Linked DNA regions of Ovis aries. The main gene of each other region encodes a partner of the protein of the gene in region 2 in a complex. Links are inferred from orthologs where the notes say so. Each region holds a gene or a part of one and is shown on either strand. Other genes may lie near its edges.

The links.
Region 1: the proteins of PLEKHM1 (region 2) and MAP1LC3C are in contact, whole or in part, in a crystal structure (PDB 5DPW), measured with the Homo sapiens proteins. The link is inferred for Ovis aries from reciprocal best matches to the Homo sapiens genes PLEKHM1 and MAP1LC3C. Residues at the interface, in NP_055613.1 of Homo sapiens: Glu632, Asp633, Glu634, Trp635, Val636, Asn637, Val638, Gln639, Tyr640; in NP_001004343.1 of Homo sapiens: Phe13, Arg16, Lys17, Glu25, Ile29, Phe33, Lys36, Pro38, Asp54, Lys55, Thr56, Lys57, Phe58, Leu59, Val60, Pro61, Glu63, Leu64, Ile72, Arg76, Phe114.

The regions. Positions count from the first base shown.
Region 1 is NC_056065.1:34,213,761-34,218,035, reverse strand, and holds the start of MAP1LC3C (microtubule-associated proteins 1A/1B light chain 3C), read left to right. Parts: upstream 1-1,267; 5' UTR 1,268-1,356; coding exon 1,357-1,414; intron 1,415-1,520; coding exon 1,521-1,576; intron 1,577-1,774; coding exon 1,775-1,881; intron 1,882-4,275.
Region 2 is NC_056064.1:44,871,134-44,875,626, forward strand, and holds the start of PLEKHM1 (pleckstrin homology domain-containing family M member 1), read right to left. Parts: upstream 3,065-4,493; 5' UTR 228-3,064; coding exon of another isoform or gene 177-227; intron 128-176; exon of another isoform or gene 1-127. UniProt on the Homo sapiens protein: Acts as a multivalent adapter protein that regulates Rab7-dependent and HOPS complex-dependent fusion events in the endolysosomal system and couples autophagic and the endocytic trafficking pathways.

The DNA.
Region 1 (4,275 bases), on a different chromosome or scaffold from region 2:
ATGGAATTCTCTAGGCCAGAATACTGGAGTGGGTAGCTGTTTCTTCTCCAGGGTATCTTCCCAACCCAGGGATCAAACACAGATCTCTCGCATTGCAGGTGAGTTCTTTACCAGCTGAGCCACAAGGGAAGCCCATACAGAAGCAAAATAAACTACTTTTCTTTGTGTCTCTCCACAAACCTAGAGAATGTTTGGTTTTCTCTATGTCATCATTATTAGGCTGAAGACTTCAATGTCCGATGTCCTGCATGGAACAGAACCAGGGATGACCCATGAAAGTCATGGTACCTTCAGAGACCATGGAAGAAGTCCAAATGGTCCTATTTATTCTTAGGACATACCTGAATAAGATGGCAGGACCACTGTGCTCCTGGATGTAAGGTAAGGAGGTGATCAGCATCAAATGAGAAAGCTGAATCACTAGAACCATAATTAATGCATAAAAGAAGCACAATCAGGTGAAACACCCTGATCTGAGAATAAGGAGACCAGTGAATCAGCTTCTATGGATCTCAGTTTTATCATCTTAAATGCAAGATCCTGAGAATAACAACCAGTGTTCTACACACATTCCTAGACCTGTAAAAATATGAACAAAATATGTTGGAAATACTACTTTGCTACACAGCTGGATTTTAACACTGGTTTTACATATTTTTATCTGGACAAATTGTTCAACCTTTTGGGAATACCTATTAGTATTTCTTACTGTGAAAAATAGCAATATATTTCAGGATAAGGTGAATCACTATTCAATTTGCTTCATTACTGTAGTATTACAATGTCCTCACATGAAACTGTTTCTATCCATAACTTCTTAGCTTAGGCTCATAGGACCATTTATAGGGAGGACCAGTGCTTTTTGTTTTAGTCACTGTCATGTCGGACTCTTTGCCACCCCATGGCTCCTCTGTTTATGGAATCTTCCAGGCAAGAATACTGGTGCGAGTTGCCATTTCCTTCTCCAGGGGATATTCCTGATCCAGGGATCGAACCTGCATCTCCTGCAATCTCAGGCAGATTTTTACCTCTGGGCCACTAGGGAAGCCTCGATGATCAATGAATGACAATATAAAATTTAATTTGTTTAGCAAAAACAAAATTTTTAAATAGTAGTGAGTGAAGTAACTTTCTTGAACCAGCAACCAGGTGCCTGTTTCATTTCCTTTCTCAGCACTGACCTCCTCCTGCCCGGGGAGAAGGGAGGATTGGAGAAGGGTGATGTCACACAGCCCTACATAAAAGCCTCCTTTGGGCTCCTGCCGGCAGTTTGGAAGCAGCTGGAAGGATGAATTAGGTCCTGGTGGTGAGATTTTTTTTTTTTCCAGGCAGACACAGACACAACTGTTGAGCAAAATGCAGACTCCACAGAAAAGCCCAAGCCTCAGACCTTTCAAGCAGAGGAAGAGCTTAGGTAAAGCTCTCAGAATAGCTGTCTGGGTTTCGGCCCTTGAGACAGCAAGAGAAGGTACAGACTTCTGTATATGCCGATGTGCTCATTTTATCTTAAATGTTCACAGCAACCAGAAGAGAGGAAGTTGCTGGAATCAGAGTGAAGTTCCCTGGCAAGATCCCGGTAAGACTCCATTGTCCTGGGGAGTGGGAGTGAGGGTGAGGGCAGGGATTAGGGGGAGGGGGCTGTGAGAGCCTATTCAAAACACCAAAACCAGCCAGTGACCTCCTTCTTTCTAGTCCAAGTTCCTCAGACATAGAAAAGTGAGGTGTATCCTTTGACATTTGCTTCAGAGGAGATTCAGGTTGAAACCCTTGACAGGTGATAGTGGAGCGCTACCCCAGGGAGAAGTTCCTGCCCCGGCTGGACAAGACCAAGTTCCTGGTCCCACAGGAATTGACCATGACCCAGTTCCTCAGCGTCATTCGGTAGGTAGCTAAGAGCCTGGGGGGTGGGGGGGGGTGTTGTGTGGGCTTGGGCTTTTGGGACAATGAGAGATGGGAGGTGGCAGAGAAGGAGAATGATTTGTGCTCCCCCTTTCTCTTCAATATGCCTTTTGTGTGTGTGTGTGCGTGTGTGTGTGCATGTGTGTGCGTGTGTGTGTGTGTGTGTGTGTGTGTGTGTGTGTGTGGCTGTCCTGCATCTCCATTGCTGTGTGGGGGTTTTTCTCTAGTTGTGGCTGGCTGAGGCTACTCTAGTTCTGCTGCACGGGCTTCTCACTGTAGCGCTTCCCTTGTTGCAAAGCATGACGCTAGGGCGCGTGGGCTTCAGTAGTTGCATCACGTGGGCTCAGCAATTGTGGCTCCCAGGCTCTAGAGCACAGGCTCAGTGCCTGTGGTGCAGGGGCTGAGCTGCTCTGCGACATGTGGGATCTTCCCAGGCCAGGAATCGAAGAACCCGTGTCTCCTGCATTGGCAGGCGGACTCTTGGACTCTTTACCACTGAGCCACCAGGGGGGCCCCAACTACGCCTTTAAAAAGGATGATCTCATGAGTAACCAGTTTTAAAATGATGTCAAATATTTTGCTACCGCCCTAAAATAAATGAGCACTCCCAATATTGATGTATCAGCTATTTTTCCCTTTGTCCTACATTTTACTGGTACTGTGTTTTAATTTCTGCCTTCAAATTTCTCTAAGAATTTTTCAAAGGAACCTTTAGAAACTGGTCCAAAACCCTGTTTTCAGCTATTTTAAAAGCCCAGTGACAGCATTGTACCTCTAAATATTTTCCCTCTTGTGGCTGGGAGGGAATTTGGGGTAGGAAAATGCACTGTCCACCTGCTGAATCACTGAGCAGGAGAACCACACCTTCCCCCACATCCTTCTTTCTTCCATTCAGAGCAAGGGAAGGCGTAGAGTAAAACCAGTGTTGCTGACTTTGAAACTTAAGGGATTGAGGTGGTCATCTGCCAGCTGGACTCAATAAAAAGTGATATGAAACCAAAAATAGCTGACTAAGGGTTCCGTAAACATGGCTGGTGTGTGAGTCTCCCTGTGCTGGAAACAACCTCTCAAAAGTTTTGGCTGATGCAGACAGTTTCATCTGAGAACTTATTATGATGCTTTTTAAAATGAGCTCTTTCAGAAGGCCCTGCATTCTTCTCAGACCTACTTAAGGGTTAGGTTAATCCATGGAAATTGGGGCAACTCAAGGAGAACCACAGTCGGATGTAGACCCCTCCTTCTGTCAGCCAACAGGCTGCTGGGGCACAGCGTGGCTTCACCAAGAAGTGAATTTTGACACAACTTCCTCCTTTTTTCCATACAGGTACACCTCCAGTTATCATACGCTTCATCCTTCATCCTAATAATTTTGAATCTTTGTATGTATGTTAGTCACTCAGTCGTGTCCAACTCTTTGCAACCCCCGGGTCTGTGACTCACCAGGCTCCTCTGTCCATGGGATTTCCCAGACAAGAATATTGGAGTGGGTTGCCATTTCCTTCTCCAGAGTATCTCCTCGACCCAGGAGAACCTGATCTCCTGCATTGCAAGCAGATTCTTTACCATCTGAGCCACCAGGGAAGCCCTTGAATCTTTACATTAAGTCATAATGGGTGCTTAATATCAATATGTTTAGATGACTTGACTCTTAACCTTGTCATTAAGCACACTGATATTAAGCACCCATTATGTATCATGCACTGTGCTGGGAGCTGCACAAAGAGCAATGAAAAATACAGACCAAAAGTCCTATGCTAAACAAGATTTAAACTAAAGTTTCCACTCTTGGAGACTCCTCACCCTTAATAAAATGAGACCCTCGTGGAAGAAGAAAGGAGATGAAGGTGCAATGTGGAAATATAGGAGCCCCATCTTCAGATCTACACTTTCCATGTAGAACAGGCATTTGCTCACCACACGAGAGCAGTGCAATGGTCAGGGTCTGGTCTTTGGATTATCCAGTGTTAGTTAACCAGATTCTGAAATTACTTCCTCTCCCACCCACCACATAAATTTAGCTCCTCCTAGCTAAGAGTAGCGGAGAAGGCAATGGCACCCCACTCCAGTACTCTTGCCTGGAAAATCCCATGGATGGAGGAGCCTGGTAGGCCGCAGTCCATAGGGTTACAAAGAGTCGGACATGACTGAGCGACTTCTTTCACTTTTCACTTTCCTGCACTGGAGAAGGAAATGGCAACCAACTCCAGTGTTCTTGCCTGGAGAATCCCAGGGATGGTGGAGCCTGGTGGGCTGCCATCTCTGGGGTCGCACAGGGTCGAACGCGACTAAAGTGACTTAGCAGCAGCAGCAGCAGCAGCTAAGAGCAGGGGTGTAATGGCTGTGCCTCTAATGTCTGGGTGGAGGATGGTCAGACAG
Region 2 (4,493 bases):
CAAGTCCTTTCCATGGTACCCAGGATTCACAGTTGTCTTTTCTTAAATGTTCCAACACACAAGAAGGAACTGTTCTGGTTGCTTTTCTTTCTTATGCTGCCTGGCCTTCTATGTACGTCCAATTTCACTTCACCAAGGAAGAAAGAAAAGAAAAGAATGGCTTAGATGAGACTTACACCAAAGGAAGAAAAGAACTGCTGGGCTTCTTCAGTTCTGAAACACTCCATCCATCAGTGAACAGCAGCCTCCTCTCCTTAGAGACTTCTCAGCTATTCCCAACAGCCTGCTCTCTACGGCCTGAATCCAACCCTGTACGGAGCTATTGAGAACAGTCTGGCATTTAAGCCATCCAGCTGCTGTATGAACTGATGAGTCATGGTTTACAGTTGGAAAAGAAGGACAAAGTTATCTTCTGATTCAGAAGGGCAGCTGATCTTTCAGACATGTGAGTGCTGAGTGAGTAAAGTATACCTCTTTCCACCTGAAGACAGTTGCATTTCTGGACAAGTGTCTTGAGGCAGGAGAAGTGAGTGGGGAGAGTGTGGAACGGGCTTTGAAGTCATCAGATGCCAGCTAGAGGGAGAGAAATTTCTAGCCCTGTGATTCCCAAACCAAAGGCTAGTGAGTAAGGCCAGAAATGTGAAGTCAGTGAAGACAGAGCAATTTTCTTTCCTTCTTCCTTCCTTCCATCAATAACACCCATCTGCCCCATATTCTTGTCTCATCTTTAGGATTCCAGCAAGGACCAACTAACTCTGAATGAATGATAACAGGAATTTTGTCTGACTCATTCACCATTGCATTTCTGGTGCCTAGAGCAACACACAGCACACAGCTGTGCTCAAAAAATATCTACTGGATGTACAGAAGAATAAAACAAAAATAAGGCTCAGGGCACGAATCTCCATTTCACAGGCTGAGGGAAGCTGAGGTATATGGTTCTCAGCCAGGACGGAACACCTTCCATTAAACCACCCTGCCAGCTGGCTAAAACTATTTCAATGTATCCCACCTTAATAGGGTGCCGAGGGGGACACTGAAGGGAGAAGAGCATTCAACTTTTCAAAGGAACAAGACTATAAATGGCAAGAGGGCGTCCCTGGTGGTCCAGTGGCTAACATTCTATGGTCCCAGTGCAGGGGACCTAGGTTTGATCCCTGGTCAGGGAACTAGATCCTGCATGCCGCAATTAAAAAGATCCTGAGTGCTACAACTAGAACTCAGTGCAGCCAAATAAGTAAATAAATATGAAAAAAAGAGACTAGGAATGGCAAACAAAGACAACAGGTCCTATTGGGGACCCTTTAAAATTGCTACCAAATGGCCTCTAAAGCCAGGTCGTCAGAATTTGAAGAGAATGTGTACCCCCAAAGCCCAGGCGATGATAAATGCTGAAAGTGGGGCCTCAGGAATGTCCCTCTGCCTCAGCTACTCAGATATCTGGGCTCCCCATGTTCATGGGTAACCAAACGGGCCAAACTCAAAGATCCAGCACCTGCAGAAAGAGGAAGTGATTCAGCAGCCGCTGTACCCGCCTGTAGCCCCCTGGGAGCCCTCTCACCTACGCTCCTCACAGCATGTAACATCATCTCTGGCATCCACTGCGTTCCCTGTGTTCAGTGTCAGGACAGGCCTGCTCTCAGCTCTAGCTGGCAGAAGCACCAGGCGAAGGTCCATAACAAGTGACCACACTCATGAACATGGCTCTGTGAACACTGCTACACAGTGGTACTCCCTGAGCTTACTCCCGGCTAGAAAACCAACCAACAGGAAGTGATGGCTTCCACTGCCCCAGGCTATGTGGGAGCCAGGTGAGCGGCCATTATTCACCTTCCAGGTATCTGGTGACACCTACCATTCCGGCAGCAGCACAAGTCATTTAATATGAATGTTAGACATACAATTTCAGGGGGCAAGTCCAGGGGACCAGACACCTGGGAAAAATATCCCTGACGCTGACCCAAGGCAGGGAGCTCTACTTCTCCACACTTACCTACCACCTGAGGCCCTGCCTGCACCCATCAAGCCCCTCAGTGTCTAACTGCTGGGTTCCCAGCAGGCAGTGACATTTGGCTGTTGAGGGGCAGCTGGTGAGGTTGGCAGGGGGACTCTTCACTAATTCTCAGACTGAGTGGGGACTGGGTTAAGGGGAAAACGGGTGTAGAACTGAGATGGGGACAGCAGAGGTGAGAGGGCAGGAGACCTCATTTTTAGTAAGATTGGGTGAGGACGTTAAGAACTGGGCACCAAGAGTCGTGGGCAGTTTAGCAAAGACTTAGGGACAGGAGTGTCCTCTGATGGTTGGAGATGGATAGGAAGTCTATGGTGGGCTAAGAAGTGAGGGGTTGAGTCTGTGAAGGCAAGAGGTGTGTAAGACTTGAGAAAGGGCTGAGATCAGTTACCAAAAAGAAAAACCGTGTGCTCAACAGGGCGTCTACTTTGGTGGTGGGTCTTAAAGGAGAGTGGGACAGAGATGGGGTCTTCAGGATGGGCATACCTTGGGGGGCTGAGCAGAGGGTGTGTAAGATTAGGGTAAGAAGGCTGATCATGAAAAGGGCGAACCGAACCAGAATCGAGGTTAGTGTGCAGCATGAGGATCGCCAAAGGGGTTGGGGGGAAGCAGAGGTATGTGGTCAAGGTCAGGGGTGGAACTGGGCTACAGTGAGGTCAAGGATGAGGCTGCATTTACGCAAGACCGGTGGGGGGAGGGGGGAGGGTGGTAAGCCCTAGGGTCAAGTCACGAGTGGCAAATGGAGGGGACAGGCCAGCAGCGGCAGAGCGGGCCGAAGGCTAGGGTTGGAGTGGGGCGCGGAGCTTGGGCTGGGAAGGGTGAGGGCTCAGAAGCAAGGCAGTCTCAAGGCAACCAGGGGTCTGGATTCACGGAAAGGGCTAGTGTCCCCTTGCCCATATGCGTCCCGGCCTCGCCGCCCCTCTGCTGCCCGCCTCGCCCCGGATCCTTAACTCACCGAAGGGAGAAGCGAGGGGGCGGGGGCACTGCCAGCCGCTGCAACCCCTAAGCCTCGGATGGGACGCCGCGGCCTCCCGGCCACTGACAACAGGAAGCGGCTCCCGCGGCGCCTGACGCCGTAACGTCAGCTCTGCGTCCGGCCCCGCCCCTGCCCGTGGAGCCAATCGTGGGGCCCGGAGGGGCTACGGGGCGGGGCCAGCGCTCCCGTACCTGAGGATTCTCAGCCCCGGAGTAGATATGTGGTCTGGGAGGCTCACGGTCACCGTACCCTAGCAGGGCACCGAGAAGCAAGGCCGCCGGCGCCCGGCGGAATGCGTCCTCACTGCCCGCCTGCCGCTGCACTGCCCGCCTTCCGCTGGATCTGTGTCAGACGAGATCCTGGCTTCTGAGTTCCCGACCTCATCTGCGTAGAACTGGGGCCGTCACTTGGCCTCCAGAGAAGGTTCCCCGCTTGTAAAATGGGACCAACGCCTACCCTATTTTTGCCTCCCCCAGGGACTCAGTGTAGCCAAATGGGCAGAGCCCAGGCCCAACTTGGAGCTTCTGTCCCGCCTGGCGTTTCTCAGGAAAAGCCTGTATATTTTAAGCACAGCTTGTATCAAGGGAACGCCTGCGCCACACTCGCTCAAGCAGTTATTCTCACGTAGCCTTGTGATTGTTTGCTTTCCGTCGTAGAAGCGATATTTCTCTTTCAAATGGAATCAGAATAGGGACTTCCTTGGTGGTGCAGTGGTTAAGACGCCATGCTGCCAATGAAGGGGGTTCCATCCCTGCTCAGGGAACTAGCTCCCACAAACCAATGAAGTCCTGACGCAGCCAAATATTTTTTAAAAAGGAGGGGTACAGAGAACCAAAGGTCAAAAGTGGGGGTGGGGGGGTGGGTCCTGACATTCTTGAGACATTTAACACGAGCAGGTTTCTATCGAGTGAGACTAGGGCCTGCGTGTGGAAGAGGTACCACTACACGCAGGGCCTTGGACTTTGGGGTGGCTTTACAGGACTGGGGGATGGGGGACACACCAGTTCTTGGGAGGAAGCCCCGCTGATCCCTGCTGGGATCTTATGCTCCATCCACCTCTTCAGGGAAGATGTCCCCCATATCTCTGGAGAGGTTGAGGTCCCAGTGTAAGCAGATAGAATGGGGGGATATGGGGAAGTCCTAGGAGGAAAAGAACTCAATATAGCTTTTTGACATAAGAGAAGCCATTTTCTGCCTAAGCTGTTTCGTGATCTAAGCCTGGCCACAATGCTTCCCCTTGAACAGGTCTTAGTAATTAATGATCTGAAAGGAACAAAGGATTGCAATCAGGAAGCAATAATTCAGCTATGAAACAAGAATCCTAGTTCCTCCTCAAGGGCTGGACATAATCTGATACACATCTTTGAGTTGTGCTACAGGAACTAAGTCCCCCTTGCCCCCCTCACCCGACATCCCCACCCTTCCTCCCACCAAGTGGAGGGTGGTAACTGCATGCTCAGTTACCAGCCTGAAGGAAAAATAAGGAATAATGTTGACCTTTTCTGA